Linked DNA regions of Macaca mulatta. The protein of the gene in region 1 interacts with the protein of each later gene in a pairwise test. Links are inferred from orthologs where the notes say so. Each region holds a gene or a part of one and is shown in the gene's direction. Other genes may lie near its edges.

Region 1 (3,994 bases):
GGGACCCATGTGGCCCAGAGCTCTAACTCCACTCGCCACTGTCAGGGGGTCTCTGGCACAGCCTCTCATCACTGGCTGTGCCCAGAGTCCCTGACTTTTGTGGGTGGGGCCTGGCCTGCCCCTTGCTCAGAATCTGCTTTCATGTCAGGGTCCAAGGCTCACTGGACGAGGGCTTCTTCAACACCTGAGCCGGGTCCTGTGTCAGGGTGGGCCCTTCCCTGTCACCTCCCTGGGGCCTTCTTGCTGTGTGCCATCTCCTTTGAGTGCTGGCCTAGGCAAGAGCCACAGCGGGGGTCACCTTGCTCCAAACTTCCTCATCGCCTCAGCCTGAGCAGCACCCCCCGCCCCTGCATGGCCTTCCTGGAGGAGGCTGCTGACTCGTCCACGCCGCGGATCCGCTCCATGCCAGGCGCGTGTGCTCACCCGAGAACACGGTCCAGCAGGATGGATGCGGCCCCTGCTGGCGTGGCGTTTGCTGTGTAGTGGGGAAGAGAAAGAATCCCACGTGGACGCATCACAGAAGTGCTGTGTGCCCCAGGGAGGCTCAGGTGTCCTCCAGGAGGGCTGTGCCCTAGATCTGTTTGGATCCATCTGCCTCGTGTCCCTGTTGGGGTGCGGTGCCAACCCAGGATGGGGTGCAGTTCATGATATGATCTGTCTGCCTGCTACCCCCACCCCCCAGGTTCTCCTGGATGGATACCTGATGATCTGTGTGGACGGGGGGCCCTCCACAGATGGCTCGGACTGGTTCTGCTACCACGCCTCTTCCCATGCCATCTTCCCGGCCACCTTCTGTCAGAAGAATGACATTGAGCTCACACCCCCAAAAGGTAAGACTAGAGAGGCCACCACGTGCTGGCCTTGACATCAGAAGGGGCAGGGTGTCCAGGCGCGGTGGCTCCTACCTGTAATCCCAGCACTTTGGGAGGCTGAGGCAGGTGGATGACCTGAGGTCAGGAGTTTGAGACCAGCCTGGCCAACATGGCAAAACCTCATCTCTACTAAAAATACAAAATTAGCCAGGCATGGTGGCAGGTGCCTGTAATCCATTACAGCCACTAGGGAGGCTGAGGCAAGAGAATTGCTTGAACCCAGGAGGTGGAGGTTGCAGTGAGTCAAGATCATGCCACTGCACTCCAGCCTGGGTGACAGAGCGAGACTCTGTTTTAAAAACAAAACAAAACAGAAGGGGCAGGGTGGGGCCACAAGTCCAGATTCCTGGTCAAGTCAGGCCCCAAAGTGTAGCATTTCAGGGTGTATGGGAAAGGTGACAGAGCCCGCCACCAGCCCTTAACTGCTGGGCTGACCCTGCCCCGTGGCCAGTGTATTGTTGATGAACAGAGCTCCCATGTATCCCGTTGGTCAGCAAACAACCTATACAACAGGACTGTGGTGCTAGAGCAGGTGCCACCCTGAGGGGTTGAGAAGGCTGCTGGGGAGACTCCAGGCTGGGTCCTGAGCAAGCTGCAGAGCTCCTTCAGCCATGTGTCCTTTCCCCCTGCCCACTTCCTGCTTCCCCTCTCCCTCTGCATCTGAGCTGTCTGCTCCTCCAGGTTATGAGGTACAGACCTTCAGCTGGGAGAACTACTTGGAGAAGACCAAGTCGAAAGCCGCCCCATCAAGACTCTTTAACATGGTGAGGAGACTCAAGCGGAGCAAGGGGCCTGCGGGGGCCTCAGGACAGGCCCTGCCTGCTGCTCCCAGCGGTGGCAGTTCCTCCCCTTTCTCTCGAGTCTCTGCTTCTAACACCAGCCACTTTTGGGGGGAAGTCCCCAGCTCTGGCCTGGGCACTCCAGTCCCTCTTCCATGGAGGGCAGTGTGGAGAAAGAGGTGCAGTGGGATTATTGTCTAGAGGAACTTGCCCCAGCAGGCGTTCCAGTCCCAGCCTCCTCCCTGCCAGTTCTTCAAGTGCCTCCAGGCCCGGGCGAGCCTGCTGGGGTAGGGAGCTGACTGGCTTGGCCACTGCCTCCTTTTTCTGCCCCAGGATTGCCCAAACCATGGCTTCAAGGTGGGCATGAAGCTGGAGGCCGTGGACCTGATGGAGCCCCGGCTCATCTGTGTGGCCACGGTGAAGCGAGTGGTGCATCGGCTCCTCAGCATCCACTTTGATGGCTGGGACAGCGAGTACGACCAGTGGGTGGACTGCGAGTCCCCGGACATCTACCCCGTTGGCTGGTGTGAGCTCACCGGCTACCAGCTCCAGCCTCCTGTGGCCGCAGGTCTGGGCTCTCATGACCCTAAGAGACTCCGACTTTCCTCTTCTTTTCTCCTTCTTCCCCGGCCCCTGTGCCCATCTCAGTTCTTTGGCATGAGATGGAGACATCTCATGGACCACTCTAAGTAGAGAGTGAGCCCCGTCACCCAGCCCCTGCTCCTGGCTTCTCTGGCTCCCTTCCTCTCTGGCCTGCAGAGCTCCTTCCTTCATCTTGCCCACTCTGTCATATGTTCTTGCCCTTGTGCACCCAGGTAAACTACCCAGGTCCCTCTGAGCAGCCGTGGTGACAAGGGTGGGAAGAAGGGACAGCTGTTCTCCAGCCCCCCCTCTCCTCATTGCCAAGCTTTGGCCTTCTATCTTGGGGTGTCCTGTGTGTTCTCCAGCCCCCCCTCTCCTCATTGCCAAGCTTTGGCCTTCTATCTTGGGGTGTCCTGTGTGGGAGGGTGGACAGGGTCTCGGGATGCGCCTGTGCCCTGTGTCCTCCCAGGGACCCTCGTCTCATCTCTTTCACCCTTGTCTTTCACCAACAGAACCGGCCACACCGCTGAAGGCCAAAGAGGCCACAAAGAAGAAAAAGAAACAGTTTGGGAAGAAAAGTAAGTACTGTCCCAGTGCAGCCAGGCTGGCGTGGGCCCGGGAGCGGTGGGCTGCGCCCCTGGGAGCAGGCGGGGTCAGCCCCCAGGCAGAGGTTCCCAGGTGCTGTCCTACTGGCGCAACTCTCCTCGTGGTCCTGTCCTGTCGCTTTTCCCTTGCTCTTTGGCCTACGGGCCTTTCATCCTGTCTCTGGGGACCCAGACCATAAATAGAGAGTGTTCAGTCTCTGGCCATGGTCAGGGTGCTGAGGAAAAGAGGTAAGAGATTGAAGTTGGGGGATCCCATCCCTGATGCCCACGTTCAGAAAAAAAACAGCCTGGCCTGGGCAAGCCGCCGCTGCTAGGTTCTCAAGGAAAAGCCGCAGGAAGAAATAGAAGCTCTCTCCAAGGCTCTCATTCTTACCTCGAGACCTCTTTGAGGGTGGGAGAGGGCAGGAGCAAAGGCAGGCAGCTGAGTGGCGGGACTGCACCTGGCACTCGGGCTGTGGGGTGTCATTTGCCTTGGTGGGGCCTCACTCTACAGATTCTGAGCCCAGCTTGGCTTCCACTTGAGGGGCAGAGCGGGACGGGCAAAGCCATCCTTCAGAGCCGCAGGCCCATGACAGCGAGGTGGGCTGTCACCTCCACGGTGTGGTACCATGTGGGGAAGAGGATGTTCTGAAACAGGAACCAGGTCCCTGGGGCAGGATTAAGATTGAGTGAGGCAGCTAGGCACAGTGGCTCACGCCTGTAATCCTAATACTTTGGGAGGCTGAGGCAGGCGGATCATGAGGTCAGAAGTTCCAAGACCAGCCTGACCAACATGGTGAATCCCCGTCTCTACTAAAAATACAAAAATTAGCCAGGTATGGTGGCAGGCACCTGTAATCCCAGCTACTTGGGAGGCTGAGGCAGGAGAATCACTTGAACCCGGGGGCGGAGGTGGCAGTGAGCCCAGATCATGCCACTGCACTGTAGCCTGGGTGGAAGAGGGAAACTCCATCACGCACACAAAAAAAATTGTCATGCCATCACTTTGGGAGGCCGAGGTGGGCAGATCACAAGGTCAGGAGTTCGAGACCAGCCTGACCAACATGGTGAAACCCCGTCTCTACTAAAAATACAAAAATTAGCCGGGCACACTGGCACACGCCTGTAATCCCAGCTACTTGGGAAGCTGAGGCAGGAGAATTGCTTAAACCAGGGA
Region 2 (3,994 bases), on another chromosome or scaffold:
CCTCTGCCCTGCAGTTGGCTCGATCTCACCAAGTCACCTCTGCCTGTAGAAATTCAGCAGCCTGAGGGCCGAGGACATCGAGCAGATGCGGTTTAAACAGAGGCTGAAAGTGATCCAGTCCTTGGAGGACACAGCCAAGAGGAGTGTGGTATGGGTGCCAGCGGGGCTGGGCGGGGGCTGGGCCGGGGGGCAGCGGAGCCCTCTCCACAGAACAGGGCGGGTGCAGGGCTCCACCGCACCCACTGTCCTACACTGCTTTGGTACGTACATCATGGTAGGATTCATGGGACCAGATCCAGGGGTTTAGGTGGGAATGTGGGGAGAGGTCCCAGTCACTTTTCTCTGCTGGTGGGTGAGTCACCGGGAAGCTTCTCAGATGGCTGCCACCCTGACAGCCACATGCCCTCTGGGCCAAGCCCGCCCAGCTGGCTGTGCCATGTGTTCCCTGCCCCACTCCCAGGTGGCGGCAACATGCCACCACCCTCCACACACCCCAAATGCCATGTCTCTGCCACAAGCTTCTGTCCTCGTTTCTGGAGGGGCCAGGCCCTCCCTGCCACCCTGTACTGCAAGACCTGTTCGTGGTCTCTGCCCCCAAAGGCAGGGACTTCTTCCATTGTTTCCACACTCCCAGCCCTCCTGCAGGCTTGTGGGACACGGTAAAGACATTGGGTCACAGCACCAGAGACTGGCTGCTTCGGCCAATTAAAACAAAGGAGCACTGGCTGGCAGGTTCGAGGGCTCCTTCTACGGAGCTGGCACCAGGGTCTCCGCAGGGATCCGGATGATGGGAGGCAAATGAGCATTCCTCACCCTTCAACCTCAACTGTATGTTGAGGAGAGAGGCTCCCCCAAGCCCATCCTGGGAAGGAGCCCAGGAGTGTGAGCTGACTGGTGGGTGGGGAGTCAGGGATGGCTGTGGGCCTTGCCCTCTCCTGAAGGGTCTGCCCTTGAGTGCTGGGCCACTGAGAGGCGGTTCACACCCTTGCCTTCATCTGCTGAGGATACTCCCACGGAGTGCTGTACTTTCTGTGGCAGGAGCTTGTGATCCAGCCATACACCCTGTTTCTCCTTCCTTCTAGGTCCGAGCTATACCTGTGGACATTGGTTTCTCAATTGAAGAGCTGGAGGACCTTTACATGGTGTTTAAGGTGACAGCTCAGAGCCAGGGCAGGACCCCTTCCTAGCTTCCTAGCTTCCTGCCAGAAAAGAAATAGATCCAACAGTATCCTCTTAGAAACAGAGGATAGAGGCCGGGCGCGGTGGCTCAAGCCTGTCATCCCAGCACTTTGGGAGGCCGAGACGGGCGGATCACGAGGTCAGGAGATCGAGACCATCCTGGCTTCCTGGCTAACACGGTGAAACCCCGTCTCTACTAAAAAAATACAAAAAAACTAGCCGGGCGAGGTGGCGGCGCCTGTAGTCCCAGCTACTCGGGAGGCTGAGGCAGGAGAATGGCGTGAACCCGGGAGGCGGAGCTTGCAGTGAGCTGAGATCCGGCCACTGCACTCCAGCCTGGGTGACAGAGCGAGACTCCGTCTCAAAAAAAAAAAAAAAAAAAAAAAAGAAATAGAGGATAGAAATAGAAATAGGGAATAGAATAGAAATAGAGAAATAGATCTAAGTGCATCCTCAGATGCAGTTGCCATGAACCTCATGTGGTAGAATCGAATCCTTCTTGGAGTTTAGGCAGGACCTCTTAAATGGCAAAAAATCCATTCAAGTCATCTTTCACAGAAGAGGGAATGCGTTGCCCCTGTAACTGAAAAGTCTATCAATGCAAACTTCAGACATGGCTGGATCCAGGTGCTCAAATGTGCCGTCAGGCTCCCCCACCTCTGATGTCCTCTGCACTGCTTTTCCTACAGTGCCAGGACTGTTGTCACAGCTCCAGGGCCATACTCTCTTCTCAGTAACTCCAGTGCGAAGATAATTTTTCTTGCTCTTGTGCTTTTAGCAAGAGACCCAGCCTTGATAGTTGGAATGACTGCCTTTCTGTTCTTGTTACCAGTTCACATCCACCTCTCCAGCTGCCTCAGGTTCTGTGCTCAAGGTGGCCACTGGACTGTGGCCCTGGTGTCACAACGGTTGAGCCAGCTCTGCCTGCCTCCTAGAGAGGTCACAGGAGCGAGAGCAAGCCTCGGGCCTCTTGTTTCCCTGGAGCCCTGCCAGGAAGGCTCAGCCCTTCTCTGGGGCCAGCAGACCAGCTCTGCCCTCTGCAGGCTGCCAAGGACTCTGTCAGCCAACCCCCTCCCCATCTGTTAACAGGGGACTGATGATACCCTGAGAGCTTTCAGGAGGTGCTGCGGTGTCTGGCCAGTGCTCACCAACCCAGGGCTCCGCAGGCTTGGATGGAGGGGGAGGGTGGACACATCACCAGCCTAGGGGTCCCCTCCACCCACAGGCTTAGCGGCTGGGCCATCTCACCAGACTGTGTCCCACAGGCCAAGCACCTGGCGAGCCAGTACTGGGGGAGCAGCCACACAGTGGCCGGCCGTCGGGACCCCAGCCTGCCCTACCTGGAGCAGTACCGGATTGATGCCAGCCAGTTCCGGGAACTCTTTGCCAGCCTGACACCCTGGGCCTGCGGCTCCCACACGCCTGTGCTGGCAGGTCGCATGTTCAGGCTCCTGGACAAAAACAAGGACTCGCTGATCAACTTCAAGGAGTTCGTGATGGGGATGAGTGAGTGCCTGCAGGGCCTACCAGGGGCCGACCCTCCCTTACCCTTTCCCAGGAAGCCTTCCAAATGCCAGCATCTCCTGTCTGTCCCCACTGCAGCCAGGAGGGGGCTGCTTGTGCCTCTAGCCCTAGATACGGGAAGAACAGTTTACCCACAGGAGCCGAGAGGGGGTCCAGCAGGAGCCTTGCCCGCTCCCCTCCCACATGCAGTCTGGGGCTGCTAGAAGCTGGTCTGCCAGCCCCAGGGAAGGGCTGAGCCTTCCCAGCAGGGCACCAGGGAGACAGGAGGCCTGGGACTCACCCCGTGACCTCTCCAGGAGGGAGATGGGCAGCGCAGGCTGTGAAGAGGGTCCCACTCGTACCCCGTGGAAGGGGCTCTGCAGCCATCTTGCCAGCCCCAGCCCCTTCCCTGGCCTTCTCCACAGGCGGGATGTACCACGGGGACCTGACAGAGAAGCTCAAGGTGCTCTACAAGCTACACCTTCCCCCAGGTGAGAGCCTCCTGCCCACTCCCCAGCCAGGATCTCCCACTTGTCCGGAAGTTCAGCTGCAGAGGATAGGCCTCTGTGGGACTGTGGGGCCTTAAGGGGGCACAGCAGCTCCACAGGCTGGAGTTTCACATTGGAGGAGAGGGAACGGGAGCTTGAGCACCTGACAGAGGTCTAAGAGCAGGGCCTTGGCCTGGGAAAGGACATGGAGGAGAATCCCACGGGTGACCGGGCACCACTGGGAACAGAACTCCCACCGAGGAGGCAGCTGGACCCAAACCCCACGAGGAGGGCCATGAGTGGAGCTTCAGGGCTGGAACCAAAACTGCTGCATTAATTTGTCAAGTTTCTTAAGGGTTTATTCCCAGAGGTTCAGCTGGAGAATCCTCACATGGCCATGAGGAGGGGCCACTTCTCTCCGGCCTCGCAGCGGTGCTGGAGCCGAGTAGGGCTGCATTGGCGACAGGCTGTCTGGGGGCTCAGCAGGGGTGGCTGCATGGACAGTGCTCCAAGGAGGGGTCATCTCCGTCATCATAGAAAGAAAGAAGGGCGAGGCAGGTGGAAATCCTGGGCCAGGCGCTCTGCTCTGGCTGGACCTGCCCCCAGGTCCCTGCTGTCGCTTGCCATCTGAGGTCAGCAGCTGCCCTCAGAACCAACCCTGGGGATTTTTAGAGTACTGGGGCTGGGCTTCACCTGAGAAGATTCTCTCCTGATTGCCTGTGATGGGGCCCAGACCTGTGATTTTTAAAGCTGACAGGCCATTGCTCTGTGCCTCCGGGGCCGAAAGGCTCTTGACACAGCTGTTCTCGTTTGTGGCTGGCTCA
Region 3 (4,558 bases), on another chromosome or scaffold:
TTATCTATGTAAAAAATTCCAAGGAATCTATACAAAACCCCCCTAAAATTAGTAAGGAAGTTCAGCAAGATGGCAGGTTACAAGATCCGCACACGAAACCAGTTATTCAGAATGCAGCACAGAGGGACAAAAAGATAGAAAATATAGACGGTAGGTTAAAAATAAAGGTTTCTTATGTTCGAGTTCCAGAAAGAGAGAGAATATGAGACAGGCATCTGAAGAAAAATGACTGCGATTTCCCAAAACTGGTGGAAGATACCAACCCACAGATTATAGAAATCCAAAGACTTCCAAGCAAGAAACAAAACAAAAAGAAAAAATATCCCACTTAGACTTATGATAGCGAAATTGCAGAAGAGTGAAAGATGGAGAGCTGAGGAGGGAGAAATCAACAGGGGCCAAGTGAAAACAACGTCTACACCTTGGACTTAACGATAAAAGCGAATTCGTACTTGCAGAGTCATTGGCACCTGCCAAACCCCTTACACACATTAGCTGATTTACTCCTCACAGCAACTGTATTAAGTAGATTCTATCACTGCTTTCATTTTACAGATGAGGGAGTTGAGATTTGGTTATTTACCCAAAGGGGCACACTTTATCGATGTAGCGATAGGATTTTGAACAAGGTAGTTCTCGCTCCAGTTTTGTGCCCTTAACCACTACACATACTTGTTTCTCCAAAGGGCAATGGGAAAATGGGAAGCCACTGAAAGGCTTTAAACAGGGGAGTGATAACATTTGTTTCTGGAAGATTCCGGCACCACTGTGGATAGTGGATTAAATGGGGCTAAAGGTGGAAATAAAGAAGCTGTTGGAATAACGTAGCCCCAAACAGGGAGGGCCTGAATGAACTAAGAAGGTGGCAAAAGGCGCAGGCACAAGCAAATGGATTCGCGAGCTCTTCCGGAGTCGAATCCACAGGGCTTGACCTGGTATCGCGTTTTACTCCGGGTGCAGAGTGAGGAAAACCGGGTTTCTGACGCAGGCAATTGCGGTGGATAGTGAAAGTCATTCACTGAAGTGGACTGAGGCGGGACGCACAGGAGACTCGGAGGCCTGAGGACGAGCTAGGCTTTGGACACGGTAGATTTGTGGCGTCTGTAAAGCCCGCGGCCAGCCGAGGGGCAGGAAACGGCGTAAAGGGCAGAGCAGAAGCCGACTCTCTGGACCTCTCCGAGAAGGATCGTCCAGAGTCCCGGCCGCAGAGCACCTCTGCGCGGCGCTGCACGCGTCTCCGGAAGCCGCGCGCGCAGGCGCAGTGCGGGGGGCGCCCCCTGGCGGCGCAGGGACCGCCCCCAACCTCGCGCCGCCGCCGCCCGCCTCAGCCCAACATGGCGATGCACAACAAGGCGGCGCCGCCGCAGATCCCGGACACCCGGCGGGAGCTGGCGGAGCTCGTGAAGCGGAAGCAGGAGTTGGCGGTGAGGGGCTAGGACCGGGGTTGCCCGGCATGGGGCTCCGCGCCCGCCCCGCCTCCAGGCCCCAAGCCCGGCTGCGCCAGGCCGTTCGTTACTCCGGGGGCGCGGCGCGGCGGGCTGTGTGCTCGGCGGCCTGAGGCCGGGTGCGCATTCTGCGGCCCGCCGGCGGTTCAGCTTCCCGGCTGTGCGAATCCGGAGCCGGGAGGGAGCTGGGAGCGCGGGAGGGGGAGGGGCAGCGGCAGCCGCAGGAGGGGGCGTGGAGGGAGGACGGTGCCGGGGCTCGGGACTCGGGGAGAGGGCGCTAGGAAGGGCGAGGCGGGCGAGTCCGTGATCTTTGCGGGGTGGGGGTGGGGTAGGAGGCTAGTGTGGGAGGGGGACCGAGTCACCCTGTCTGGACTTTGGAGGATGGTGGGGAGCGTGTTCTTTTTGGTACTAGTAGTAGATCCGTTGAATGGAGGCTTTTGATAGACAGGGTTGTGATGTGTTTGGGAATATCTAGAAGGTGACAGGCGAGGGAGAAGAACACATTCTGGAGAATTCGGAATTGTGACAGGCACCCAAGGCCCAATGCACCCTGGTGGCTAAGCTCTTCCTGCCCTCACGTCTCGGCTTGGGCACCCCGGAGGCCCCTCTCACCTGAAGCTGCCCTTCCAGGTTTCCATAGCAACTGGCAGCCCGGTGCCGGCGGCCTCTCTGAGCCTGCGGGGAGGGGAGCGAGTTGACGCTGAAAGGCTGCTCACCCTTCCCTCTCCTGGTAGCGATACCTTTTGTGCGTGGGAGTGGATATCGCACAAGTTCTGCGTTAGCCTGGGTTCTTGACTCCTGGTTTCCGTGAATCCTCTAAAGTATATGCAAAATTTCGCGTGTGTGTGTATTTTTCTGGGGACATGCTTTATACATTCAGAGGTCCATCACACCCAAAGGTCTAGACTGTCTTAGTCCTAAACGGCTGCTCCTCCCCATATCATCCATCTCTCCACAGGGTGATTTAGTGTGGACAAGCTTGCGTTTACAAATCTAATATCAGGATTTCATTTTGGTCAGACTTAAGTGTTTGCATTTAAAAGGCATTATTCATGTCCTTGTTTTTCATCTCTCAGGAAACACTGGCAAACTTGGAGCGACAGATCTATGCTTTTGAGGGAAGCTACCTGGAAGACACTCAGATGTATGGCAATATTATTCGTGGCTGGGATCGGTATCTGACCAACCAAAAGTGAGTGTCGAAAGCCTGTAGTGTTCCTATTGTGTTCCTATTGTGTGTGTTTGTAGGACTGTAGGCTCTTAGTAGCAAGTTTGCTAGAGGCAGTAGTAAAGTGGTGGTGTGGTCTGGACTTGAACTCTTGGACTCTGGCTCAGGCACTGCCTCACTGAATAATCTTAGACAAAGCTCACATCTGTAAAATAGCAAAAGTTGGGCCTTTGGCACAGGGTTGTGTGAGGCTTAAATACAGCATATAACAATATCTTTATACAACATCACTCTATTAAATTTTTTACACATTTTAATCAGTCGTGAGTTCTACCCTCACAGTATTTTTCTTTTCTTTTTTTCTTTTTCCTCCTGAGTAGCTGGGATTACAGGCGCATGCCACCATGGCTGGCTAATTTTTTTATTTTTAGTAGAGACGAGGTTTCTCCATGTTGGCCCAGCTGGTCTTGAACTCCTGACCTCAGGTGATCTGCTGCCTTGGCCTCCCAAAGTGCTGGGATTATAGGTGTGAGCCACCATGCCTGGCCACTTTTCTTTTTTCTAAGAGACAGGGTCTCATGCTGTTGTCCAGGCTGGAGTGCAGTAGCACAATCTTAGCTCACTGCAGCCTCAAACTCCCGGGCTGAAATGATCCTCCCACCTCAGCCTCTCAATTAGCTGGGACTACAGGCACACAATACTGCACCTGACTAATTAAAAACATTTTTTTTTTTTGTAGAAGTGGGGTCTCACTTTGTTGCCCAGGCAGGCCTGGAACTCCTGGTTTCAAGCAGTCCTCCTGCCTCAGGTTCTCAAAGTGTTGGAATTAAAGGGGTGAGCCACCACGCCCAACTGACCCTCACAATTTTTGCCATACCTGTGTGCCAGCTGTACCACTGCTTGCTTAGTAATATTTTTAAAAAATTTCTAAACTTTTGGATTATCTTCAAGTTATAGAAAAATGGGAAGAATAGTATATGAACACTTGATACTGTCCTACCTGTATTCAGATTGTTAATGTGTTGTGACATTTGCTTTCTCTTACTCTCTATAATATTAATATAAGCACACACCTATATTTACATTTCACGTTTTTAAATTGTGAAATAATTATAGATTCATAGGGAGTTGGCAGAATGGTCTTTTGTAGTCTTCATCTAGTTTTCCCCAATAGGTGTTTTTTTTTTTTTTTTTTTTTTTTTTTTTTGAGACGGAGTCTCACGCTGTTTCCCAGGCTGGAGTGCAGTGGCGCGATCTCGGCTCACTGCAAGCTCCGCCTCCCGGGTTCCCGCCATTCTCCTGCCTCAGCCTCCTGAGTAGCTGGGACTACAGGCACCCGCCACCGCGCCTGGCTAATTTTTTGTATTTTTAGTAGAGACGGGGTTTCACTGTGGTCTCGATCTCCTGACCTTGTGATCCGCCCGCCTCGGCCTCCCAAAGTGCTGGGATTACAGGCTTGAGCCACCGCGCCCGGCCAATAGGTGTGTTTTATATAACTCTAATACAGTATCAAAGCCAGGAAATTGACGTTGGTACAATGTATATATATAGTTCTATGTCACTTTATCTTGTGTGTAGATTCATGTGACCACAATCAAGTTACTTCAGGAACTATTCCATTACCACAAAGATCTTCCTCATGCCACTCCTTTGTAGTTATATCTCCCTGTCCCCCTACCTTTTTTTCCTACTTAACTGTTTGAAAGTTAGATGCAGATATACTGACACTTTGCACTTAAATGTGTCAATAATTATCTCCTGAGTATAAGGACATTTCTCCTACCTAACCAGTTATTATACCTAGAAAATCAGTACTACATTAATAGTATATAATACATAGTCTTTATTAAAATTTCCTCAGTTGTCCCAAAAAATTCTTGCTGATTTGTTTTGATCCAGGATTCAGTAAGCATTCATGCATTGCATTTGGCTGTTATGTCTTAAG
Region 4 (4,469 bases), on another chromosome or scaffold:
CTGTCTATCCTTGCATGATTTGTGGGAAGAAGTTTAAGTCGAGAGGTTTTTTGAAAAGACACATGAAAAACCATCCCGAACACCTTGCCAAGAAGAAGTACCACTGTACTGACTGTGATTACACTACCAACAAGAAGATAAGTTTACATAACCACCTGGAGAGCCACAAGCTGACCAGCAAGGCAGAGAAGGCCATTCAATGTGATGAGTGTGGGAAGCATTTTTCTCATGCGGGGGCTTTGTTTACTCACAAAATGGTGCACAAGGAAAAAGGGGCCAACAAAATGCACAAGTGTAAATTCTGTGAATATGAGACAGCTGAACAGGGGTTATTGAATCGCCACCTCTTGGCAGTCCACAGCAAGAACTTTCCTCATATTTGTGTGGAGTGTGGTAAAGGTTTCCGACACCCATCGGAACTCAAAAAGCACATGCGAATCCATACAGGGGAGAAGCCATACCAATGCCAGTACTGCGAATATAGGTCTGCAGACTCTTCCAACTTGAAAACACATATAAAAACAAAGCATAGTAAAGAGATGCCATTCAAGTGTGATATTTGTCTTCTGACTTTCTCAGATACCAAAGAAGTGCAGCAGCATACTCTTGTCCACCAAGAAAACAAAACACACCAGTGTTTGCATTGTGACCACAAGAGTTCAAACTCAAGTGATTTGAAACGACACGTAATTTCAGTTCATACAAAAGACTATCCTCATAAGTGTGAGATGTGCGAGAAAGGCTTTCACAGGCCTTCAGAACTCAAGAAGCATGTGGCTGTCCACAAAGGTAAAAAAATGCACCAATGTAGACATTGTGACTTTAAGATTGCAGACCCATTTGTTCTAAGTCGCCATATTCTCTCAGTTCACACAAAGGATCTTCCATTTAGGTGTAAGAGATGTAGAAAGGGATTTAGGCAACAAAATGAGCTTAAAAAGCATATGAAGACACACAGTGGCAGGAAAGTATATCAGTGTGAGTACTGTGAGTATAGCACTACGGATGCCTCAGGCTTTAAACGGCACGTCATTTCCATTCATACAAAAGACTATCCTCATCGGTGTGAGTACTGCAAGAAAGGCTTCCGAAGACCTTCAGAGAAGAACCAGCACATAATGCGACATCATAAAGAAGTTGGCCTGCCCTAACATTGTGTCTACAAGCTTGTAAAGATGTTGGCCTTGAAGCAGAAAATTCGTTTTTTAAAGCCAGTCTTGTTCACATCCATTACTATACATTGAATTATGCTGTGTAAAAATAGAATTATCGCTTCTAGTCCACTTTTCTTTACATTTTATTCAATAGGGTGTCCTGAATCCTATTCAGTTTCTTTAATAGATGAGAAAAATAGCAACAAGCAAGTTGCTTATAATTTGTGATTCTATACTGAATTTTCAGTCTTAAAAGCTTTACTATTTATTTACATATTTATTCATGTTGATGGTACTCTTCTAAGACAAAATCAGATTGATAACTACAAAAGTAACATTTTTGACCCATTTCTTCCTACACAAACGTTTCACATTGGAGACATCTGCTAACATAAATGGGAGATTTTACTGTCAAGTCCAGTTAGCAAAACATAATAATTTTTTTGTCTTGCTTAATATTACATGATGATGAAATTTTACATTTGAGCTTCTAGCATTGATTAATATAGGATATTGACTACATTTATGTTTAAATTTCATTTTGTTCAGCAGACAAAATGTACTTCCTTTAATTTTCATTAATAGTGTTTACATCTTTTGTCAGCACAGCAAACTTTTAAAAAGTATTATTGAAAAGTTTTACTTATTTTTGTCTTTTGTTTTCTCTTTGTACTGCTTTGTCTTGCATTGTATTCCAACACCCGAGACTTACTGCATACTGACTTTTAGTCTTTTAGAGGTAAATTGTGGACTCAGGATTTTTTGAAACTTGGTGTGTAACTCTAAATCTTGTATATGCATCTTTGTTGCTTATTACATATTTACACACACAAGCACAAATTTTAAACTTATGAAAATTTACAGTAACCTGGAAGATCCAGGGATGCATGAGAGCATTTCATAACTTACTATTCAGAGTTACTAAATTTGAGGTGAAGAATTGAAAAGAAGGACATTAGGAAGAGTGAAAATCTTCTAATACTCTTTGATAGATAAAAATGGAAGGTAAGATGTTTCTAGATAGAATGTTTTCTTACAATTTCAGCTTCATATCATAAATTTTTCCTGGAAAGCTATTTCAGACATAGGTTTCTTAGTTTTTGAGAATCCTGTGAAGGAACTCTTGTCTCACTGCAAAGTAAAGAGGACTAAGGGAAAGTGGTGGTACCATGTAACAGAATGAGAGCTAATTCCAAATTAGCAACTTTATCCTGCTTTTTATTTTACACTGAGTAAAGTTTTAAAAAGACAACAGTTAAGTTGATTTTGATTAGAAGATAAACATACGTAATGAAAATCCGTGGCCTTATTTGGAACATATATCACTTTCCAAATTTTATTGTTTGAGAGTTAATAAGTTATTAAGCAGTTAATAACATGTATGGATATAATATAAAATGAATTCATATAATTAAAAAGAATTTGGTTAATAAGAATTTTGGAGAATGGAAAATGCATTTTTAGGTTCCTTAATTTGGCTGTTGGTACCTATGTATTTGGAATATTTTCAGGGATTAGAATTTTTTTTAAACCACATTACAGCTACCTTCTGGCTTTAGTATGGTGGTGCTTCATTCAACTTACGCTGTCAGGTTTTTATTTTCTCCTTCTGGGCCACCAATTCAAAAGTTACAGGATTAGGAAATATAAATATTTGGTGATTGACAGCCTCTGACATGTTAGATTAATTTGATCTAGTTCTGAAGTGGTTTAGTAATACATGAATTTAAACCTAGTACCAACCAAAACCATATAATGGATTTTGAAAATCTGTTAGGACTTCTTAGCCCTCATACATGTTTCTACCTGATTGTTACTGTCCTTCATTATCTTGTTCTTGATAACTTCAGTTTGTATTTGAGAATCCTTTAAATCTCCTTCCAATTTGTTTTCTCCCTGAAGTAATATAAAAGGAAGTATTTAAGTGAAAGTTTAAGAGTTTTAAAGCACTCCTTAAAATTAATAGTTAGCTATTTATATTTTAAAAATAAACAGAAAGGTAAAGAACAACACTTTACATACTTCATGTTTTTCATATAGTCTGGAGTTATACACAGTTGTTTTGTTTTTAACCACAGTATTGAAACCTTTAAAAGGTAATTAAGCATTTGGTCAAGTAAATATGATAGAACGTTTGTATAAAGACAGAAACGAAATTGTGCTTAATGTTATATACTGTTATTATTTGCAGGCTGGTTTTAATTCTTAATTTGATTAGCAAAGCTAAAAAAGTGGATGTTGAAGTTGAAAGTTTTAAAGAGGTACAAAATCTTACAATGACATAAATTATTGTTTGGTTGAAAAATAGTGTATTAAATATCGTATGTCCCTTCCACTGTACAAATTGTAAAATACTTAAAATACTATGGAGAATTCATGTAGGAAGTGTGATACTGTTGTAAATGTGTACTTGAGAATAATATGCAAAAATAAAAATAATATTTTGCTGTTAATAAATGTTTACTTGTATATGATACCAATACTAAGTTAACTCTTTTTCTTTAAAACATGCAGTTTTAAGTCTTAATAAACATAAAACATAGTGGACTATTTTTATTTCCCCACTTAGTTCATTCTGTACATAAGTGGAACACAAAATGCTTTTTATGTAAATATTGGTAACCTTATGAATTTACAAGTAGTATTTCAGAGTACTTGTGCTAATTGAAGAGTCCTTTGCTCAATGTGTTTTTGAAAATCAATTTTTTGTTTTATCTTAATGAAAGATTGTTTGGTTAGCATCTCCACTTGCTGAAATAAATTTTCCTTGCATAGAGCTTTTTTTTTCTTTTTTTTCTTTTGGTTTTTTGTTTTTGTTTTAACAACAAAGCCTCACTCATTTGCCCAGGCTCAAGTGCAGTGGTTTGTGATCTCAACTCACTGCAACCTTGAACTCTCGGGCTCAAGCAGTCCTCCCACCTCAGCCTACATAGTAGCTGGGACTATAGGCATCTACTGTCGTGCCTGGCTAATTTTTTATTTTTTATAGAGATGGGGTTGGGTCTCATTATGTTGCCCACGGTGGTCTCAAACCCCTGGGCTCAAGGAGTCCTCCTGCCTCAGCCTCCCAAAATGGTGCAGTTATAGGCATAGGCCAGTGCACTAGGCCTTAAGTGATTTTTGAGGGCAGTAAGTCCATAGCAGAAGAACCTGCCCTAGTTACACATTTGTGTGTTACTCCTTTGTATTCAGTTTGGAGATCTTTAGTGTACACATATACTGTGGGATGGGTATTACAACAAAAATTAGAAGCTTGGTAGAAGTTAACGAGGAGTCAAACATTACAGCAAAGAAGACCGAGACTCGTAAATTTTT
Region 5 (4,454 bases), on another chromosome or scaffold:
AAAGACTGTGTGCTCAGCACCTGCCAAAGGAGGACCTTAAAGGAACAGCCTTATTTCTTTTTTTTTTTTTTTTTTTTTTGAGACGGAGTCTCGCTCTGTCGCCCAGGCTGGAGTGCAGTGGCGCGATCTCGGCTCATTGCAAGCTCCGCCTCCCGGGTTCACGCCATTCTCCTGCCTCAGCCTCCTGAGTAGCTGGGACTACAGGCGCCCACAACCGCGCCTGGCTAATTTTTTGTATTTTTAGTAGAGACGGGGTTTCACCGTGGTCTCGATCTCCTGACCTTGTGATCCGCCCGCCTCGGCCTCCCAAAGTGCTGGGATTACAGGCGTGAGCCACCGCGCCCGGCGGAACAGCCTTATTTCAATGGCCTCTTTGGGGCCTGTTCTCTGAATGGCAGAAAGAGGGATACTTTCATAACCGCCACCAGGTCCCATTCCTCCTCTTCCCACGGCTCTCCAGGATTCCCACCTCACTCAGAGCAAAAGCACAAGTCTAAAGCCAGGTGCGGTGGCTCACACCTGTAATCCCTGCACTCTGGGAGGTAGAGGCGGGAGGATCACCCAACGTCAGGATTTCAAGATCAGCCTGGCCAATATAGTGAAACCCATCTCTACTAAACATACAAAAATTAGCCAGGCATGGTGGTACGCACCTGTAATCCCAGCTACACGAGAGGTTGAGGCAGGAGAATCGCTTGAACCCGGGAGGCGGAGGTTGCAGTGAGGCAAGATCACGTCACTGCATTCCAGCCTGGGCAACAGAGTGAGACTCCATCTCAAAAACAAACAGCTGGGCAAGGTGGCTCACGCCTGTAATCCCAGCACTTTGGGAGGCCGAGGCAGGTGGATCACCTGAGGTCGGGAGTTCAAGACCAGCCTGACCGACATGGAGAACTCTCGTCTCTACTAAAAATACAAAATTAGCCGGGCGTGGTAGCACGTGCCTGTAATCCCAGCTACTCGGGAGGCTGAGGCAGGAGAATCACTTGAACACGGGAGGCAGAGGATGTAGCGAGCTGGGATCGTGCCATTGCATTCCAGCCTGGGCAACAAGAGTGAAACTCCGTCTCAAAAGCAAACAAAAAACAAACCACCAGGTCCCATCCCTCCTCCTCCCACAGCCTTCCAGGGCTCCCACTTCACTCACCCAAAAACCCAAGTCCTCCCCATGGCCCACAAGTCCTTGCTGGACTGGCCTGCTTCACCAGCTACAGAGTTAGCAGGGCCCAGTGCAAAAGAAAACTGAAAGGCCCCTTGTTCAAAAATGATTAGGAATCTCAAAATGCAACACTAAATATTAACCCAAGCACAAGCCCTGCTGAGGAGGGGGGGGGGCCCGGGCAAATGCATGAAGCCCCAGGCCCTGCCTCCCTCCGGCCTTCCTGACCTCCGCCCTGGCACCCTGATGCCAGGCACAGTCCTGCCCCAGGGCCTTTACACCTGCTGGTCCTGCCTCTGAGTACCTCTGTACCCCATCCCCCTGTTCTCTCTCCTTCTTTGGGTCGTTTTAGGGGCGGAGGAAGCTCTCTCTGATCCTCCCTGCCACCTGTTTAACTTTGCATCTTCCTACCCTGCCATCCTCCCGGCTGGTTTTTCTGCAGAACGGTCCCCACCATCTGACCTGCTGGGAATTCAGCTTGTTAATTTGTCTCTGTCTGTCTCCAGGCACCACCACCAGAGCAGGGACCCCCCACCCCCGCCCCCACCACAGGGCCCTGGAGCAGCAGGCCCTGGCACACAGTAGGCGTTCTATAAATGTGTCGCAAGAATGGCTTCCCTGAGAAAGGCGGCATTACCGCTGCCTTTCTGCAGAAAAGGAAACTGAGGCTCAGCGAGAACCACCGCCCAGCCAGAGCCAAGGTCACAGAGCACGTCCGTGGCACGCGTCCAGGTCGTGCCACGGCAGGGCTGGCGGCTTCGACGCGGGCAGCCGGGTCCCTTTTCTTTGACAGATGGGGAAACCGAGGCCCGGCCTGCTGCCGGGTTGGGGGGGGTGGCGGGGGCCGCGGCCCGGGGCGGGGGCGGGCCGGGCCCAAGGTCACCGCGGCGGGCGGGCCCTGGGGAGGCGGGCCGGGGTGGGGATCCGCAGGCCTCCCCGGGCGCGCGCCTCCCCCCCCTCGGCGGCGCGCACGGGGCACGGGCGGCGGCGGCAGGTGGAGCCGGAGCCTCAGCATCAGCCGAGCCGCGGCCACTGCCGGCGTCGCCGCCATTAGACAATAGCGGTGGGGCCGGGGAGCGGGGAGGCGGGCGGCGGGGAGGGGCGGGGAGGGGCGCCGGGCGCGCAGGAAGCGGGGCCCGGGGCGCGCCGGGGCCGGGCGCGCGGGGAGGGGGCGCAGGAAGCGGGCGAGGCCGGGCGCGGGAGGCGGCGGCGGCCCCGGGAGCTGCCGATCGGCGCCGGGACAAAGGCGCGGCCGCCCGGCGCCCCCAGCAGCCCGAGCCGGGGCGCACAGCCGGGGCGCAGCCCGCGCCCCCTGCCGCGACTGACATGATGTTTCCACAAAGCAGGCATTCGGTAAGCGGGGTCCGTCCGGCAGGCGCCCCCACCCCGGATCCCGGCCCTGCGCTCCCCACCCCCGGCTCCCGGCCCCGCGCCCCCCACCCCCAGGCCCGGTGCCTCCGGCCCGGCACCCCCCCCAACTCCCCGGCCCTGTCTTCCCTCTCCAGCTCCAAGCCCGGCGCGACCCCCCTCCTGCCGCCGGCCCCCGGACACCCCCCAGTTCCCGATCCACCCCAGCTTCCGGGCCCCGAGCCCCCCCGTCCCAGCTCCCGGCTTGGCGCCCCCCCCCTCGCCGGGACAGGCAGGGCCTCGGACGGCCTTGGCCTCGGGCCTGGGGCGCTCCGGGAGCCCCGCCAGGCACCTCTAGCGCGGGGATCCTTTGGGGGCCTGTGGTGGGGGGGCGATCCGAGGCGCACCCCTCCCGGAAGAGCGCGTCCCCGAGGAAGGGCGCTGGGAATCTGGGGTGGGCCCCCCGGGAAGATTTCGGGCGCCGAGAGACCCCTCCCCCAAGAGGGCTTTGCTGGGAGGACTCGCTGCCCCCCAACTTGGGGAGGGGGCTCCCTAGGGTGCGTATCCACCCCCCTCGGATGTGCACTCCCTCCCGGCGCTTTGGAGGGGCGGTAGAGGGCGCACCCTGCCCCCCATCTAGGGCAGGCCTTAAAACGCACCCCCACTGCTTGGAGGTGGCGGGGGTCGGGGCGGCTCCGGGCGCACCCACCCCCTCGGCTTCCCCCGGGAGAGGCGGGGGGCAGGAAGCGCGGGTGGGGGCCGCGCCAGGGGCCGTAAACACGGGCCCAGGAAGTGGGGCAGGAGGGGGGGCGCCGCAGCTGCGCGGCCGCTCCCTCCCGGCTGGCCCTCGAGGGGGGTCCAGCCCAAGCCAGGGCCTGACCCGGGCCGCCCCTTCCCCACAGGGCTCTTCGCACCTACCCCAGCAACTCAAATTCACCACCTCGGACTCCTGCGACCGCATCAAAGACGAATTTCAGCTACTGCAAGCTCAGTATCACAGGTGAGCTGGGGGGCCGAGGGTCCCTGCGTCCCGAGAAGGTGAGCCCCCCACCCCATTTTTTCTGCGCAGATGGCAAGGCTGAGGCCTGGAGGGGAGATTGGGAAAATAATGTATGCTAGACTCTGACCTAATACTTGACAAATAGGGAATTCATTTTTTTTAAACAGCTGCATTCTGTGGAGGACAAAACTGAGGCACAAAATAAGTTAAATAATTTGCCCAAAGACCCAGCTGTGTGGCTTCAGAGCCCCTCCCTCCTACCCAATCCCCCCAAGTCCCCCCTTGGATAAAAGACAATTGGAGTTAGGGCACAGACTCGCCGTCCCCCCAACCCCCAAAACAAACATTTTGCAGCCTGGTCATCTCTCTTTGCCCAGTTTTGGAGAAAGGGTTCCCAGCATCAGTCAGATTCTCCCAGGTGCTTCTTTCAGAAATCTCCTGGCGTTTCTGAAGAGCTTGCCATGCTGTGGTATCTAAGGGGAAGGAACTATTTAGTCCTTTTACACTTAAAGAAATTTAATCCCAGGCCGGGTGCCACCGGTGGCTCACGCCTGTAACCCCAGCACTTTGGGAGGCTGAGGCGGGTGGATCACTTGAGGTCAGGAGTTCGAGACCAGCCTGGCCAACATGGCGAAACCCCGTCTCTACTAAAAATACAAAATTAGCCGGGTGTGGTGGCAGACGCCTGTAATCCCAGCTACTTGGGTGGCTGAGGCAGGAAACTTGCTTGAACCCGGGAGGCGGAGGTTGCAGTGAGCAGAGATCGAACCACCACACTCCAGCCTGGGTAACAGAGAGAGACTCGGTGTCCGAAAAAAAACAAAAAAAAATAAAGAAGAAGAAACTTAAGCCCAGAGAGGTTATTTCCTCGGGGATGTCCGTAGCGTTGAGGAAGTGGCAAGGCTGAGGTTTGCACCAGGTCTCTCTCCTGGTTTAAGGTTTAAGGAT
Region 6 (3,994 bases), on another chromosome or scaffold:
AATAAAATACCCTTAGGTATGTGTGAAGTTAATAAACCCCACATCAGTAAGTTTTGGGTAAACAGTGTTCAGTTTCCCAGTATACAGCAGCAACAGTGGATTTACCTTGAAAAGTATCAAGTTAGTAAAAGTTGCAAACATAAATTCCCCCATATCAGTTTGAAAATAGATATTGATTTTATGTTTTCTGTAGAAATATGGCTAGGCGTGGTGGCTTACGCCTATAGTCCTAACATTTTGGGAGGCTGAGATGAGTGGATTGCTTGAGGCCAGGAGTTCAAGACCAGCCTGGCCAACGTGACGAAACCCCATCACTACTAAAAAATACAAAGCCGGGCGTGGCAGCGCATGCCTGTAGTCCCAGCTACTTGGGAGGCTGAGGCGTGAGAATCGCTTGAGCCTGGGAGGGGGAGGTTGCAGTGAGCCAGGATCATGCCACTGCACTCCAGCCTGTGCAACAGACTGAGACCCTGTCTCAAAAAAAAAAAAAGAAAGAAATACATTACATATAACTGTGACTACTTTGGTATTTAATTGGGATTATTTACAATTTTAAAGTTGTAACATTACAATCTTGCTACAATTTTGAATGTAAATAATTGTACCACTACAGTCACTAAGTTATCTTGAAGTATTTCATGGTTTTGCTCTGGCGAATTTTTCTATAGTATTCCCAAATAATGCCTATTACAGGATTTAAGGTATATAAAGTATAATAAAACATATAATTGGAACAAAACCATGGAACTTACCTTGCTGGCCTGTGAGAAAATGTAAGCTCTGGAAGTCTCTAAACTGCTCCATTTTATGGTGGTCAGGTGAACAGGTGCTGGAGGGAACCCACTGTAAGAGCAGTGTCCAAATGTCCCATTTTATTCTAAGGACAATGGAAGATACTTGCTTACCTATGAGAGAAACAGAATATGATAGGTTTACTAAGGAAAAGGCATTAAATGTAAACAGTGCGAAAGAGGCTATGGCAAGGGAAAGATAAGACATGGGAATGGAGAAAAGAGGTAGAAAGATTTTCTTGATTAAGTTGAAGAAAAACCAGCCAGCCCACCAGTACCCTCAAACCCATCCAGTTCGAATATATCCTCCCATCCCTGCTCCTCTGTGCTTCCCCACCCCAAACGCCACACCCAGAGAGTATTCTAAAACTTTTCATGGGTGCACAGTTCTTTGTTTTTGAAATAATATGCTTAATATCAAAACTATTTTCAATAGAACTCCTTTAATTTTTAATATGAACTCTTAAACACAGCTACCAAATTTTTTTTGCAAGGCTGTTCTCGGGGCTTGCTTTTTGTGTGAACTAGCGTGAGTGTGTTTCGAGTGAGTTTTTGAGGTATTGTTATTTGAGATGAACGGCTCTGACAACAGGGAGGCCTGCTGTGCCCACTCATTGTGTGCGTGTGTGCATGCAGGCTCCCACACCGCGCCACAGCACGCACCTTACAGTATGGGAGCCTGGATAATTAGATAAAGTCAGACCCCCAGATTTAGCTTGTGATAATTAGTGGGTACGTTTTCCTTAGGCACAGCTTCATCATAATTGCACATGCTTCAAAATCCTGCCAAGATACTTTCTTTTTTTCTCCCCACCCCTTTATGATTTTTTTTTTTTTTTTTTTGGTTTGTTTGGAGTAGTCATTCTTTTCTTTCATGCTCAGGAGAACTTCCAGTGGTGAATTCATCAGCTGGATCAAACTGCTGTACTTGTAACTGCCAGTCAACGTTGCAGGCCATTCTGCAAGAACTCAAGACCATGAGGAAATTAATGCAAATTCAAGCAGGTACAAGGATCAGGCCTCGGAATGAGTCCTTTGATTTTTAATGCATATCTGACATCTTCCATTGGAATGTTCATTGTGCTTTTATTAAAGCCTTCTTCTCACCTTGCTGTCTTGCTGTGCCTTTTCAAGTATCTGTTTTTTCAGCTTTCTCTACAATCCGTTTTTCCTTTAGCAAATCAAACATATTTTGTCTTGCAACTGATACAGCTCATATAATTATGTGTATGTACTCAATAGACTTCATTCCATGATCTCCTAGTATTTCACAAATGTCAGTTAATTAAATTTGGGAACAATTGTGTATGGAGGAGCCCTGGAGGAAGCATGGGCTTCAGTGTTCAAGGACTAAGCAGATAAGAAATGTGGAGCCCCAGGCTGTGCTTTGTGGCTTTTCTCTCCTGTTCAGGATGCGGAAGCTCAGAGATCCTCCTGTTCTGTCGTCTTTGTTTATGTTACTCCTTTTTGTTTTCACTGCCGTCAGGCAAGTTGAGGGATGGAAGAGCGGTGGATTTATAATTTGGGATTGGACGCCAATTTCTGCTCTTGATGCTGTGTGGCGTGTCTGAGCTTCCTGTTTCTTGTCTGTAAATGGAGAATTCATGTCGAACTCACAGGGCTGTTGTCAAAATAGAATGATGTAGTGGTTGTAAATGAACTTAATAAGGCATGGTACAAGCCTAAGCTGTTTCATTAGCGTGGCCTTTAAGTCCATGGAGCGTTCTATGGAAGTCTGGAAGTCTAGGTCTTCATTATAGCAGCTGTATTTTCTGATCTTCACAACTGAAGGAAAACAGAATTGTTTTTGTCACAGGTACAAGAAATAAATCATTGTATTAAGTTTTCCCTCTTGTCAAGGGACATCACCACTTGCTCTTAGCCATGTCGTGACTAGCTTTCCTGCCCTTTCCTCAGAATGGTAGTCCGGAAGGTCGTCACTCAGAGGCTGTTCAGGATGCCATTTAGTGAATTCTAGCATAATTTTAATATTCAGTGATGTGGTTTTGATATAAAAAGCTTAATACTTAGATTTATCAGTCACCCAAGATCACATTGAAGTAATGTGAGCTACTTTCTGAAAAACAGCATCTTTTTAAGCACTGAATTTGGTTTTACCCTAAGGAAGCATTTTGCTCAGGTCAGTAAGCGTTGGACTCACCTTGTTCCACTACGATAATCTGTGTTCTTATTAACCTGGCAGAGGTTAACATCTCCTAAATAAGGAGCTCAGAAAGAAAGGTTACTTCATGATGTTCGGTTTCTTTTCTCCAAGGAGGAATTTGTTCGCACTTAAGAAAATATGCATATGAAATTGTAATGATTTGTTTTGTCACTTAAGCTCCTTACTACTGAAATGGCAAACTACAAATTGCAACCATTTAAATCCTTGATGGAAGCCTTTTTAGAATCTATTAAGTAAATGCCACTTTGTCGCTGTGTTTTCTTTTCTGAACCTTTGCAGATTAGGGAGGTAAACGATTCCAAAGCTGTAGGATGGCACAAAGGATAAACTGAATAAATTACTCTCCTTTAATTTTCTTAAACTTAAAAATCTGTGTCGTGGGTAGATTTACTTAAGGTTTAATGCCTGAAGACTTAGATTTAAATTACATTTAGAAAGTTTCACCTTTCTTTTAAGAAGACAAGGAATAAGACCTAGAGGTGAGATCTGTATGCCAGAGACTCGGGCTGTGTCTAGATTTGCAAAAGAAGAAAAACTCAGATAGTCCCCATGTTCCTTAAACCAAAACATTTTCATTTTTAATTTAGAATCATGAGGCTCAGCGAGGCCTGGGGCCTAGGCCATCGTGATCATTCTTCGGGGTCCCTTTTATTCTGAGGGTACAGACCCAACCTTGAGGGGGAATGCAAATAGAGCAAAGAGAAGTTGCCAACTCTGGCTGCACAGCAGAATCACTGGAAGACCTTTCAGACAATGCTGGTTCCCAGGCGGCATGTCTGGAAGTGTCAGTTCATTTAGTTTGGGGTGGGGCTGAGGCATTTCAGTTTTTTTGTTTATTTTTGTTTTTGTTTTAAGACGGAGTCTCGCTCTGTCGCCAGGCTGGAGTGCAGTGGCGCGATCTCGGCTCACTGCAACCTCCACCTCCCAGGTTCAAGTGATTCTCCTGCCTCAGCCTCTCGAGTAGCTGAGGCTACAGGTACCCACCACCACGCCCAGCTAATTTTTGTGTTTTTAGTAG
Region 7 (3,994 bases), on another chromosome or scaffold:
GGATATATTAATGTTTCTAGTCAGTGTGTGTTTATCAGGGAGGCTCTAGATAATCTAATTTTTTCATTTATAATTTTCATAATTTATATGAAAGTTCTAATTAGAAAATTTAAAATTATAAAATGAAGAATTAAATCATTAGATATTGAGGTCTTAAACCTTGAATATATGCAATCTTTCACATCCTGTTGTAGATAGTTGAGGGATTGGCTCTGCATGGTTTAACATTATGAAAACACAAATGTGTACTCGAAGGAATTTTTTTTTTTTTTTTTTTTTAACTGCAGCACTTCATTTTTCCTGAAGGACCTTCTTAATGACTTTTAGTACTCAGTGAAAATACCCACACTTATTTGTAACAATATATTTTTGTGTGAAACAAATATGTTCCCTTGTGACATGGAAAATGATGTTGAAGCTGTGTGCCGTATAATAGTAGCTGAAGCGGATAATTGCATTTTTGTGACTTAGGTCAGAAAACAAAGTTGATGAAGGCACTGATATGAATGCAATCAGTTTTATACCATATCATACTTAGAAGAAAGATGAATGATTTTTAACATAAGTTACTTTAGTCTCCACTGGAAAAAACTTTCTTACATTTAGAATGATCTTTTTATTTTTAAATTGATAAGGCTTTAAAACTTTTTTTGAGTATTTTCCATAGTTTTCAAAATCCAGACTCAATTCCAAAGAATCTTTGTTTTTGCCTTTTAAACTCCAGGACAGCTCCTCTGGCAATGTATCTGAAGGAGAAAGCGCTCCTGACAGCCAGGAGGACTCTTTCCAGGGAAGACAGAAATCAAAAGACAAAGCTGCCACTCCAAGAAAAGATGGTCCCAAACGTTCTGTACTGTCCAAGTCAGTTCCTGGGTACAAGGTAGAAGAAAAAAGCCCCTGACTCAGCTTCTTTACTGACCAGCCTCTCTCCCTGAAATGTTTTCACTTGACTTTCACGATTGTGGAGCTTCTGCCTGCTGTACTTCACTAGCTGTTCTTCTATGGTGTGCCCTCTGTCTGCTGCTTTCTTTTGTGCTTTATTTCCTTGGTGGCTTTTCTGTCACTTTTGGCTATGGTTTAGCTTCTGTTTTCTGTATATGTACAATTTATAAGTCTTTTTTTTTCTTTGAAATAATAACCAGGCAAGTATGGGTTTTTAAAACATTATTTCATAGGCAGAAGTTTATATTTTCTTTCCTTGGAGTAAAGATCATAATTATTTGGCATTTTAAATGCCCCAGCATTTAGTGTAGCTAAAGCTGCTGAGCTGAAGTATGAGTGGGTATACTGTTAGACTAAGTTGCATTTTTTAGTGCCTTTCATTAAGAAAGATCTGGGTTTAATCTAAGGATTACTTGATCCATATGCTAAATTTAGCTAACTCTGGGATAGAAAATAATAAAACCTGTTATTTACATTGTGTGATTTTTAGCATAACCTTGGTAAAGAGCCTATATGATTCTATGACAAGAATTAAAACATACTTGTTAACTTGTTGATCTGATTATCCTCAGAGTAAAGTTGTAGGTTGTCAGCAACTATTATTATATTTTGAACGTTTCCTCCCTCTGTCTGCCCCTCCCTTTTCTTTTGAAGAAAAGGTGAGGTGAGAGGTGTGTAGCCTTATTTGCATATAGGGATTTAAGAATATCATAAAAGGAAGAATTAGCTGTACAGTTTCATATTTGGGATGGTGGTAGTAAAATATACTACCTTTTGATTCTTTGGTCTGAAATGTATTAGAACATGCTTTTATTGCACTTATGAAGGTGTATTGAAGGAAAATTTTAGAGTAAGCTGATGAGGAAGTTTTGCCAAGTGAAATTGTTAAACACCTTGTATGTCAGAACTGTGATTGTGATAAATAATTCACAAGAACAGGCTGAAGTTAGTCACCTTTCCGTCAAACTAACTAGAACACGTTCTAACATGTTCATTTACCTTTCTTCAAGTAAAAAAAGTGACCTATTAGTGTATTTCATGTTTTATTAGAAAATGCTTTTATGTAAATAACTTAAATTTTTTTTTTTTTTTGGTAGCCTGTAGCAAGCAAATTTTAAGCTTAATTGAGCAAGGGTTGGCTTCCAAGGGTGGCTGCAATAGGCTGCAGCTATGTGATTTTTGTACTTGTTTTTACATATAAAGCTTATCTAATTTCTTTAAATATATAAACTAATGCTTAATAACTGAAAGCAAGTGAGCTCCAAAGATGAAATTTCAGAAACAGTGTACATGAATGAGTGTGTTCTACTGGTCTGCTAAGAGCTTTAAATGGAAGTGGCCGCTCAAAGCACAGTGTCCTGTTAACTCTTGAGTGCTAAGTAGATCTTTCCAACAGTAAGCTTGATTGATCATGGGTTAAAAAGAGAGAATATTGAAATAGATGTTTTAATACAGGCTGGAAATGAACTATTTAACACTATCATTGATTTACTATACAAGAAATCATATAGATTAACTGAACCTAATAGTACTCAAGTAGGATATGCAAAATTTATATTTTACATAATCTGTGAACATTTTTAGTACCTAAAAATGTTTCAGGTATTTCAAAGATGGGAACAACCAGTATCTAGTCATACATTAATGTGAACAGGTTTATTAAAAGTTAACCTCTTTATAAAAAGTATTAATAAACCAAGATGTGCCTAAATATTAGGGTACTTCAAGCTAAAGGTCATGTTTTATATATATATTTATATATATATATAAAATATGAGATTCAAGAAAGTAATGTATCTGTCGGGTTGCTTAATAAGATTCACTAGTGCTTGCCCTTAATTCGTAGGACCGTATTGTTTAGGTTACATTAACCTGAAATTTAAAGCATAATTATTAGGATTCCAGCCTATAAATATATAATTAAAATCTATACTATATTATTGCTACCATGAAAGTCTTATCTTTGGCTGTTTTTCAAGTAGAAAAGTAAGTGTACTGTGAGCCTTTTATTTGAGATGCTGAGAGCTATTAGGATGAGTATTTCAATTTTCTTGTCAGTAGTGAAACTGATGATGTTGCAGTTATTTGAAGTAGAACTGATTGTCTCAACCAGACACACATGGGAGTGTGTTCCATTGGCCTTGGGGAGAGTGCTGCACATTAACCCCTCCCTCAACTGTGCAATCCACTGAGACTGGCTTCTCTAAGCCACGGTTGTTATCTGCTGTGTGAAGTCCTGGATGCCAGCACTGTGGCTTCTTAGAGAGGGCAGATGCTTTGTATATTGAGCTGCAGCATTCATCACAGAAAATGCTACAAAGCTGTCTCTCTTCCCCTTCTCTCATGTTGCCCTGTTTTCCTCAAGATGAAGACTGTTGGGTAAGAAAAACTAAGTGATTTAACAAAGCATTATGATTTAAACTTAGAAATAAACCTAGAATTTTTTGGTGTCCCTTTATCATAGGTGTTTAATGTATATTTTAATGATTGTAGAACTTGAATTGCTCTAGAATGTGAATGACTACCCTTGTGTTTTATTCCTTTTGGCTTTTGTTTTGTAAAGAATCTCCTATGAGGAGTTCTGTTTTTAGAATTTAATATTGTTTGGTTACTTCCCTGACTTTAGTGAAAGATATTAGAGTATTTACTATGCCAGTATCTAACTTAAACTATGAGTATTAAATAAGTATATCTTTTACATTTAGTACAGGTACCATAACCAAAAGAGATTTCTTAGTTTTGATGGATTAAGAGATAGCATTCTGCTGTATATTATGGCAGGTACAGATATGATTACAAAACTGAACCAGAATTTGGATTATAGAAGTGCACTTCCTAGCTGTTTTTTATTTAGGTATAGGAACACACAATGAGAACCTTATGATTAGAATGTAGCAGTAACAACAGAGGGTAACTACACTGCAAGACTTAAATGGTTTGAGCATGTGACACTATCCTATTGTTGGGGGGAGCAGGGTATAAAAATATACATACAGGAAATTAGTTTAATAGTAAAGTTTTATATGTATGTTTAACTTCCATGATATTTATT

The links.
Region 2: the proteins of L3MBTL2 (region 1) and TBC1D9B interact in binary tests that used the Homo sapiens proteins (3 or more experiments, as listed by UniProt). The two-hybrid records come from large-scale screens. The link is inferred for Macaca mulatta from reciprocal best matches to the Homo sapiens genes L3MBTL2 and TBC1D9B.
Region 3: the proteins of L3MBTL2 (region 1) and MEAF6 interact in binary tests that used the Homo sapiens proteins (3 or more experiments, as listed by UniProt). The two-hybrid records come from large-scale screens. The link is inferred for Macaca mulatta from reciprocal best matches to the Homo sapiens genes L3MBTL2 and MEAF6.
Region 4: the proteins of L3MBTL2 (region 1) and ZFY interact in binary tests that used the Homo sapiens proteins (3 or more experiments, as listed by UniProt). The two-hybrid records come from large-scale screens. The link is inferred for Macaca mulatta from reciprocal best matches to the Homo sapiens genes L3MBTL2 and ZFY.
Region 5: the proteins of L3MBTL2 (region 1) and TLE5 interact in binary tests that used the Homo sapiens proteins (3 or more experiments, as listed by UniProt). The two-hybrid records come from large-scale screens. The link is inferred for Macaca mulatta from reciprocal best matches to the Homo sapiens genes L3MBTL2 and TLE5.
Region 6: the proteins of L3MBTL2 (region 1) and BEND7 interact in binary tests that used the Homo sapiens proteins (3 or more experiments, as listed by UniProt). The two-hybrid records come from large-scale screens. The link is inferred for Macaca mulatta from reciprocal best matches to the Homo sapiens genes L3MBTL2 and BEND7.
Region 7: the proteins of L3MBTL2 (region 1) and PHF10 interact in binary tests that used the Homo sapiens proteins (3 or more experiments, as listed by UniProt). The two-hybrid records come from large-scale screens. The link is inferred for Macaca mulatta from reciprocal best matches to the Homo sapiens genes L3MBTL2 and PHF10.

The regions. Positions count from the first base shown.
Region 1 is NC_133415.1:10,283,895-10,287,888, reverse strand, and holds part of L3MBTL2 (lethal(3)malignant brain tumor-like protein 2), read left to right. Parts: intron 1-682; coding exon 683-830; intron 831-1,553; coding exon 1,554-1,636; intron 1,637-1,984; coding exon 1,985-2,219; exon of another isoform or gene 2,220-2,286; intron 2,287-2,702; exon of another isoform or gene 2,703-2,745; coding exon 2,746-2,811; intron 2,812-3,994. UniProt on the Homo sapiens protein: Putative Polycomb group (PcG) protein. PcG proteins maintain the transcriptionally repressive state of genes, probably via a modification of chromatin, rendering it heritably changed in its expressibility.
Region 2 is NC_133411.1:188,875,360-188,879,353, reverse strand, and holds part of TBC1D9B (TBC1 domain family member 9B), read left to right. Parts: intron 1-49; coding exon 50-148; intron 149-1,082; coding exon 1,083-1,151; intron 1,152-2,444; coding exon 2,445-2,685; intron 2,686-2,999; coding exon 3,000-3,173; intron 3,174-3,994. UniProt on the Homo sapiens protein: May act as a GTPase-activating protein for Rab family protein(s).
Region 3 is NC_133406.1:203,284,221-203,288,778, forward strand, and holds the start of MEAF6 (chromatin modification-related protein MEAF6), read left to right. Parts: upstream 1-1,313; 5' UTR 1,314-1,334; coding exon 1,335-1,424; intron 1,425-2,521; coding exon 2,522-2,637; intron 2,638-4,558.
Region 4 is NC_133427.1:2,558,653-2,563,121, forward strand, and holds the end of ZFY (zinc finger Y-chromosomal protein), read left to right. Parts: coding exon 1-1,151; 3' UTR 1,152-3,611; downstream 3,612-4,469. UniProt on the Homo sapiens protein: Probable transcriptional activator. Binds to the consensus sequence 5'-AGGCCY-3'.
Region 5 is NC_133424.1:3,855,098-3,859,551, reverse strand, and holds the start of TLE5 (TLE family member 5), read left to right. Parts: upstream 1-1,558; 5' UTR 1,559-1,755; coding exon 1,756-1,983; intron 1,984-2,169; exon of another isoform or gene 2,170-2,485; coding exon of another isoform or gene 2,486-2,512; intron 2,513-2,756; exon of another isoform or gene 2,757-3,063; intron 3,064-3,408; coding exon 3,409-3,506; intron 3,507-4,454. UniProt on the Homo sapiens protein: Transcriptional corepressor. Acts as a dominant repressor towards other family members. Inhibits NF-kappa-B-regulated gene expression. May be required for the initiation and maintenance of the differentiated state.
Region 6 is NC_133414.1:15,038,785-15,042,778, reverse strand, and holds part of BEND7 (BEN domain-containing protein 7), read left to right. Parts: intron 1-1,673; coding exon 1,674-1,796; intron 1,797-3,994.
Region 7 is NC_133409.1:2,320,006-2,323,999, forward strand, and holds part of PHF10 (PHD finger protein 10), read left to right. Parts: intron 1-724; coding exon 725-880; intron 881-3,994. UniProt on the Homo sapiens protein: Involved in transcription activity regulation by chromatin remodeling. Belongs to the neural progenitors-specific chromatin remodeling complex (npBAF complex) and is required for the proliferation of neural progenitors.